Nothobranchius furzeri: one gene and its partner. The protein of the gene in region 2 interacts with the protein of the main gene of each other region in a biochemical or structural test. Links are inferred from orthologs where the notes say so. Each region holds a gene or a part of one and is shown on either strand. Other genes may lie near its edges.

The links. The genes of interacting proteins can lie anywhere in the genome.
Region 1: the proteins of histone deacetylase 4 (region 2) and zbtb16a form a complex in vitro, tested with the Homo sapiens proteins (2 studies listed by BioGRID). The link is inferred for Nothobranchius furzeri from reciprocal best matches to the Homo sapiens genes HDAC4 and ZBTB16.

What each region holds. Positions count from the first base shown.
Region 1 is NC_091750.1:30,173,812-30,177,889, reverse strand, and holds the start of zbtb16a (zinc finger and BTB domain-containing protein 16-A), read right to left. Parts: upstream 2,801-4,078; 5' UTR 2,668-2,800; intron 1-2,667. UniProt on the Homo sapiens protein: Acts as a transcriptional repressor. Transcriptional repression may be mediated through recruitment of histone deacetylases to target promoters. May play a role in myeloid maturation and in the development and/or maintenance of other differentiated tissues.
Region 2 is NC_091754.1:47,244,973-47,249,007, forward strand, and holds the start of histone deacetylase 4, read right to left. Parts: upstream 2,801-4,035; 5' UTR 2,239-2,800; coding exon 2,124-2,238; intron 1-2,123. UniProt on the Homo sapiens protein: Responsible for the deacetylation of lysine residues on the N-terminal part of the core histones (H2A, H2B, H3 and H4).

The DNA.
Region 1 (4,078 bases), on a different chromosome or scaffold from region 2:
AAGGAAAACCATTCGTGTTTAAAGTCAACAAGTGTTGCCAATTTGTCATATTTGCAGAACCATCAGCTCAATTACCGGTTATAGAATATGTGTATTTATTTAACCATGAAAGGATCCGGTTTATTATGTAAACGGGAAAAACGGGAAGCCGCTGGAGTCTCAAATTGCAAATATCCTGCAGGGCTGGTAAACAATCTGTGCAGCGGCATTGTTCTGGAGACCAGCGCCGAGTATTGACAGTATTTTCTGAAGGGAGACGATTTGTTAGCTGTCCAACAGGCTCATCCTGCATACCAATCAACCTGACATATGTTACGTTAAAAGATGTCTTCGTTTGCTTATCTGACGGGGACGTGCAGTTAAACAAGGGAGCATTGTGGGCTTTCACTGCTGCTTGGCTCGCAGGGACCGTCAGCAGCCTTCCCAACATTAAATAGCATCTTACTCAGTATTCCCATCACAGACGGGAGCAGAGAGCAGCGGCCAGACAGGGGTGGAAGAGAAAAGCAGGATGAGGCAAAAAGCACTGCTGCACTTAAACGCTCCGCTCGGCTCTCAGCCGCTGAAATCTCAAATGAATGAACATCTCTGTGGCTGCTGGTGATTTCATTATTCACGTTAACAGGGCAACGTGTTGCTCCACCTCATTACTGGAGCGCGTCTGACCCGCGCCAGATAAACCAGGACAGGTTCAGACTGAATTAGCAGAACGTGGACGTAAAACATAGACGCCTCTGGCTGCTTCTGGTTTAGTCTGGTTTAATGGTCTGCCCCACCGGAGGACGAAAGCATGAATGCTGGTTAACCACCTCAACTGACCCACATTCTGGGTGAACTCACTGATTCAGTCAGCTTCATGAGCAATGACAGAAACTTTTCAGCAGTTTTTAGTCAAAAAAGAAACGTGCAAATGCATCCTCAGCGTTTTAAAGCTGACTGCAGTTTACATGGAAATTCTGTCATTTTTCTTGTTTCCTCGCTCTGGCGCAGGAGACCATGGACGTAATCAGGTTTATGACCGGGTCCATCTTAAAAAGTGACTGGGTCTCAGTTGGTTTGGAGAAAAAAAATGAGTATCATCAGATAAAATCATCAAGGTATCAGCCTTAGAAATCAGAATCGGTGTATTTCATCTTTAACTTTAACACTTTAGAGCAGGATTTTACAAGTGCTTAATGTCATGATGAGAGTATCATAAAATATGCAGAAAAATAAAATATATAAGTTGAATTATTGCTTGAAACATAAAAACTTGGGAGAAAAATGACTACAAACCTGTCATTTTCTACTCAGAGCTGCGAGTTTAGATTAGAAAAAGCATCAGGCTAACCAAATAAATAAAAACCACTAATGATGAGCCCACAGGTCCCCATCTAACCGAGATCAGCCCCTTCACGCCTCCAGCACCACATTATCATCAGTAATGTTTGTGTCCCTGAACGTGATCGGTGCTTGTTGCGCGCATCGGAGCAGCCCAAACTTCCCATTCAGGCACTTGTGTCTGCTCTCCATTAATAGAGAGGAGCGTCTAGACAGCGCGCGGATGTTGGGCCAGCCGCTGCAGACCCATTCTACACGAGCATTACGCAAATCAGCAGACTACATTAAGTACATTAAGCCGGTGGAGATGGTGTCCCGCGAGGACAACGAGCAAATAAAGAGACTTCAGAGAGAGAGAGAGAGAGAGAGAGAGAGAGAGAGAGAGAGAGAGAGAGAGAGAGAGAGAAGCATCGGAATCGATCTGATCACGAGCTGTCTGCCGTCGCGCGCACTGACGAGCCGCAGCCACAACAAGAATAAACAGCGTTCAATAATCCAGCGCGAGAGCCGCACGGACGGACCCCAGGCGCGGGAGCGTTGTTATGGTCTGGTGGTGGGGGGTGTGGTGGTCATAAACGTGCACGCGAGCCTGGTTCCGGTCCGATCTGCGTGCAGGTGGCAGCTCCACATCTCGGTGAGGATGTGAAGGAGTGAAAGGGGAAGAGGAGGATCAGACACATTCGATAACAAATCCATTTGAATCAGTTACCAGCGCGCGCGCGCGCGGCGCGTGCAGCTCGATTATTGGGAACTAATCAAACATGTAGTTAGCTGTCAGTCAATCCCGCTCTGACAGCGCAGTCACGCTGGTTTGGTGCAACTGTCTCGAGCCGCCGTGATGTCACACCGCGGATTAATAAGAGGGGATAGGAATGGGACGTCACGCGCGCTTTACCGCTGCCATCGGTCCGTGGAAGGGACACGCAGCGCGGCGTCACGAGCCGCCTGGCTCCCGGTGAACACAGCCAGACCTCACGTCCTCTCGCCGCTCTCCAGAATACTAACCAGACAGGAGCGCGAGGAGGGGGCTTACGTCAACCCTAGCGCCTCCGCAATAGGCTGCCGTGCGTTAATGCAAACTTTAACACCTTGCAGCGCAATCAGGTAAACACTTGTTTTCAGCCGGGACTCGCTCAGGCGCGCGCGACCCACTGCCAAGTCGCTGGTAACTTCAGCACGAAAACGCACATGAAACCGGAAGGTCAGCCGAGGACGAGCGCAACAAACGCACCCAAAACATCCATATGGTGAATGAAAGTCCGCTAAATGAAGCACACGCGCGCGCAGGAGCGAGCCCGGCACTTGTCTCCGGGAAGCGGCAGCCGCGTGTCCGGTGTCGGTACTCACCTAAGTTGCAGGTTTGGAGTCCGTGTGGCGCGCGGGGGACTGGGGCTACAGCATAGTAAGGCAGTTCGCAGTACCCGCTCTCTCAACACGCACTAACTCCTTTCTTCTCTCGCCTTAGCGAATCAACACGCCGCTGACGTCAACGCAGCCAGACGAGCAGCAGGCGGGCGGGCGGCCGCCGCGGCGCTCCAGTCCGAGCAGAGAGAAAGTGAGACACCTAGGGGACTGTCTCCGGCCAAACGGGCGTGTTACTGGAGGCCAGGGAGAGGCGAGACGCGTCCTCGCCCACAGGAGCTGGGCTGAAGCTCCACAGGGACGGAGCTGGGCTTTAGAGGACCTCAGGGGTTCAGGAGTCACACCCCAACAAGTCCTGCTCACCACCCCCAGACTGGTTCCGACACAAAACCAAGAACTATCTGATCGTTTGAATCATTTCAGAATTCTGCTTTTTTAAATGTTTGGATTTGATGTATTTTTGATTCAATCAACTCTGTCTGAGGTCCGAGTTTGGCCGTCCTTCCGTCCCTGTTCTGCCTCAGTTTTCTTTTCCCCAAAACTATTTTCAAAGAGCCAAAATAAAGTTTTGGATTATTTAAAATGTAGAAAATCCCTGCAAACCGGAGCACTCGGATATCGAAACTAAATACTTCTGATGGTTTCCTGTGAGCCATCAGACCTGACTCACTGACCTAACATCAGTGTCTAAGCTCTGTAATTAGGTGGGAAGTGTTTTATGGAAAATGGCCTGTGTTTAATCTGGCACCAGTCCCAGAACCTGAATCAGCCATTCACACATTCACAGCTGGTGATGATGCGCTACATTGTGGCTACAGCTGCCCTTGCCCAAGGACACAACAGCAGCACTCTTTGCCAGGAGCTGAGATCGATCCTGCAACACCGCCAACCCGCTCCACCTCCTGCTGCCTTCATGTCTGTATCCACTACAACCCAGATTTATTTCATTTTCAATTCAAATATTTAAATATTAACTGCAACACTTTTAGATTTAAGCTCAGGTCTGCTGTCCAAACTCAAACCGAGATTTACTAAAATGCAATTTAACAAATTAAAAAAATGACAGAAGACTAAATAAAGTGCAGGACGTGAATAAACACAACTGCTTTATGTATTTTAGCAAAAATAAACCTTTATTTTTTGCCTTTTTTACTCAATCATTTATGAACAGATGTATTTGGAAAACATGATCAAAGCTGGGGTCATTTTTATAAAACAAACTGAATGTGCTGTCAGGTTTCAGTAGCATTTCACAATAAGTGACCCAAAGACGTGCAACAATCCTGAAGAAACGTCCTAACAGCACAGAGTTGGTCGTGTTTGCACACACGAATAAAAGAGATGAAACAAGTAGGAACAACTTCCTTTTAGGGGGTCACACGCGGATCAAAGCCAT
Region 2 (4,035 bases):
GGTTCCTTTGCTCTCATAATGTCTCTTTTCTGTCTCGAAGGGCTCCTTGCATCGGTCTGGATGAGCCTGAGGGTTCAGTCTTAAAGTCCCTAATGAGAACCAATCAGAAGATGTTTCTGCTTTTGAAGACATCCTGAACTTTGTTACCACAGCAGACGTCCCAGCCAATCAGAAGCCTCGCTGATAAACAGATAGACTCTGATTTGAACACCTCTTTGTCTCAGAGCACTGACGTCAAGCCAGAGCTGGAGTTTACTGATGTGTGTGAGATAAGGACGACATGAGGGCAGCCGCCATCCGACCCAAACGGGGGGCGGGGGCTCCAGAGACATTACACAACGGGCAGACTTACCTGTATGACAGGTGTGTGTGGGGGGGTGGGGGGTGGGGGGGTCTAAAAAAAGATCCTCTTTGATCTGCAGCCTGATTTAGCTCAGACTCAGAGGGAAGAGAATCCACACGCTTCACTTTCTTTTTCTCCTGCGAGTCTGATCGGAGCGTTTGTGGATCAGAGGGAATCTCTAAAAGGCATCGGGATTCAAAGGAATCTCCTTCAGAGGGAATTCTGACAGCTTTTTCGTTTGCTTTAACTCAGCGACCTTTCCTGTCAGCGGGTTCCTCTGCACACCCCTGCACTCCTTCATACCCCCCCCCCCTACACACGCACGCACGCACACACACACACTCACACACACACACACACACACACACACACACTCACACACACACACACACTCACACACACACGCACGCACACACACACACACACACACACTCCACAAACTAATCACAATCTGTTTACGACCCCTCCGGCGCTCTCCACAACTCTTCTGGCTCCTGCTGTGAATCTATTTATACCAGACAATGTCGAGGGCTGGCGGTTCTGACTGGAGGCCCGGTTCGTGGAGCCCGGGTCCCACGGTCCGACTGCCTAAGCCCCGCCCCTTAGGCCCTAATGGATGTGGCACAGATGAGGGCTCATTCTGAAAAGTCCTGCAGCCAACAGTCACTTCATCTGTTGTCCAGGTAGAATCAGGTTTTAGCTGCAGTGGGCGGGGGGGTGGTCGCCCTTCTAATGACATCACACAACGGCGTTACGCAAAGGATCCGTGCTGGGAGTGCGCACACACACACACACACACACACACACACACACACACACACACACACACACACACACACACACACACAGAGCTAAAGTTCAGGAGGCCTCTGCAGGTGTGATCCTCACCTGCAGGGCGTTTTAAAGACTCCCAGATGGCTTCACCCTCCTCTCCGTGCAGGAGAAGCGGTCCGGGTCACATGCCACCCAGCAGCTTCGTAGCCAAGACAACAGATTCTGAGAATATCAGATGAAGATGCTCTGGTGGATTTCAATATTTTATCAGCTGAGCCGGAGGCAGGAGCAGGAAGTGAAAACAAAAATAACCTAGGAGCAGAAACGGCAGCGTGCTGGAGCGTTGGCTGCTGTCTGGGAGTCAGAATTAGGAATTAGACTCACCCAACCATCCTGGGAGGCAAAAAACCAAAAGCTGGGAGCAGTTTAAGCTTCCTTATTACAGAATTATGGGATGCACTATCCCAACACCAATTTATCCTTCCTTATCTGTGCCCCTCTGGTTTTGCTCCACTCTCCTCATCCTCACTTTTCCTGTACAATTTCTACCGGACAACATGGATCTGCATTCAGGAATACTTGGGAATGGGAACTTATAGCACTGGGAGCTGCAAGAGATTGTTTTGGGAACATTAAACGGACTCAGGAACTGACTGAGAGGCACAATGGGTTTGTTTAGCTGTGTGTGTGTGTGTGTGTGTGTGTGTGTGTGTGTGTGTGTGTCTGTGTGTGTGTGTGTGTGTGTGTGTGTGTGTGCGTGCGTGCGTGCGCGCAAACATTCGGAGTTCCAGATTTTCATTCAGCAAAATGGCAGCACCGGAGCGGCTTAAATAAAACATTGGGGATGTAAACATGGTGTCTCCTGGTCAAGTAGACGGTGTGTCCCCGGCTCGCTCACATCCAAAAAGCAAAGTCACACAGGATGTGGTTGATAGTAACATCACGTACTCACACACACACACACACACACACACACACACACACACACACACACAGATTGACCAACCTGTTGGGATGTGGTTGAGCGCCGACGTCTTGAGGACCTCCAGCGGCGGCTCCTTTCCCAGGATTCCCTCTGTGGGAGAAAGAGAGCATTCTGCTTCAAAGATGGTCCGCAGCATTGAGCCGGGCTTCCAGCCACAAACCTGCTAATCAGGCGGTTAAAACCAGTCGGAGAGAGAAAGAGAGAAGGTGGGAGAGAAAGAGAGGGAGAGAGAGAGAGAGGGGCTTCAGGTCATCTGCACGGTGGAGAGCACATGCCGCTGTGCACCTCCGAGCCCCTGAGCTGCTTCCTGATCCATGAGCAGCAAACGCTGAGGCGCGTCTGCAGGGATGCTCGGACGGAGCTAAAGAATAAGCCGGGATTCAGAGGGAGCGCTCGTCAGCTGGTGTGTGTGAGTGAGAGTGAGTGTGTGTGTTCGCTTGTGAGCGAGTTGGAGAGATGTTGGCGCTCGACTGATAGCGCCTGTGCTCAGCATAGCAAATGTGGCTAGCAGCAGCGGCGGAGAGAGGGATGAGGAGGCGATGGAGAGGAGGGGAGGGGAGGGAGGTAAAAATAGCTCACCCTTTTGTGTATAACTGCACATGCAGAGCACGCACACACCAACACAAAGACGCTGCTCCAGCGAGTGTGTGTGTATGCATGCATGTCCATGTGTGTGTAGGCTGTAATTATAGTGGCAACATGAAAAGGCTTTTGTAGCTGCTGAGCCCTGGGAAGACATGGCTATAAAAAGCTGGGGGGGGGGGGGGGGGGGCACAAAAACAATCAACATGCATCCATCTCCTCCTCCTAAATCTGTTACTAATAACTCTCTCACTCTGCATCCTGTGAGCATTTATAGTTCTACAGCACCTGGTCCGTGTATTCACACACACACCTATTTATCTATTTACATTCTGAGCATAAAGTGTACAGACATCAGCACAAACACGGGTTTGAGATTTAAAAAATAACGAGAAATCCCTTCAGAGGGGAAAAAAAGAGAAAAACAGGCGAGAGTCTCACCATCCGTGGTCTATTTCTGGAATTCTCTGTGGACTAGACTGGTGCACACACACACACGCTCTCACACACACACACGCTCACACACATGCATACACAAACACACACACACACACACGCTCACACACGCGCGCACACACACACACACACACACACACACACACACACACACACACACACACACATGCTCGCACACCTGTATACACGCACCCACATGCATGCACGCACACACACATGCTAACACACACATACGCACACACACACGCACATGCAAACACACACACACGCTCACACGCTCACACACACACACACACACGCTCATACACACACATGCTCACACACATGCACACACGCTCACACACGCACACACATATGCTAACACACACACACATCCGCACACACACACACACACGCTAACACACACAAATACACACACACACACACACACACACACACACTTTTATTATCTAGGAAGCTAGAGGATATTGGTCTCACACCACCCTGCCTGGATGGCTGCAGCGGTCAGGTTTGGTCCTGATGAAACTCGTCTCTGTGCGTGCATCCGTCTCCTCACAGGCAGCAGGAAGCTGATGTATGATGCACTAAAACCTGGTAAAGTCGATACCAAACAGGTATGGTGTTATCTGTATACGCTATGATACAATACTTGAATAAAAGAAAGAAAAAGTACTTTTCATGTGGTACAAATTATTCACCCAAAGTAAAGTGGTAGTTTACTCATGTAAACTGTATCTGCAGCGGTGTCTATTACGAATGAACGCACCCGTTTCAGGAACTAGAAGAGAGCCACGTCAGAGCGGAGCTTCACAGGCAGGATTAGGATGATTACTTCCTGATATTTGGACATTTTTCCTCTAATTGGCTAACAGCAACGTTGATGTTTTATCTCCAT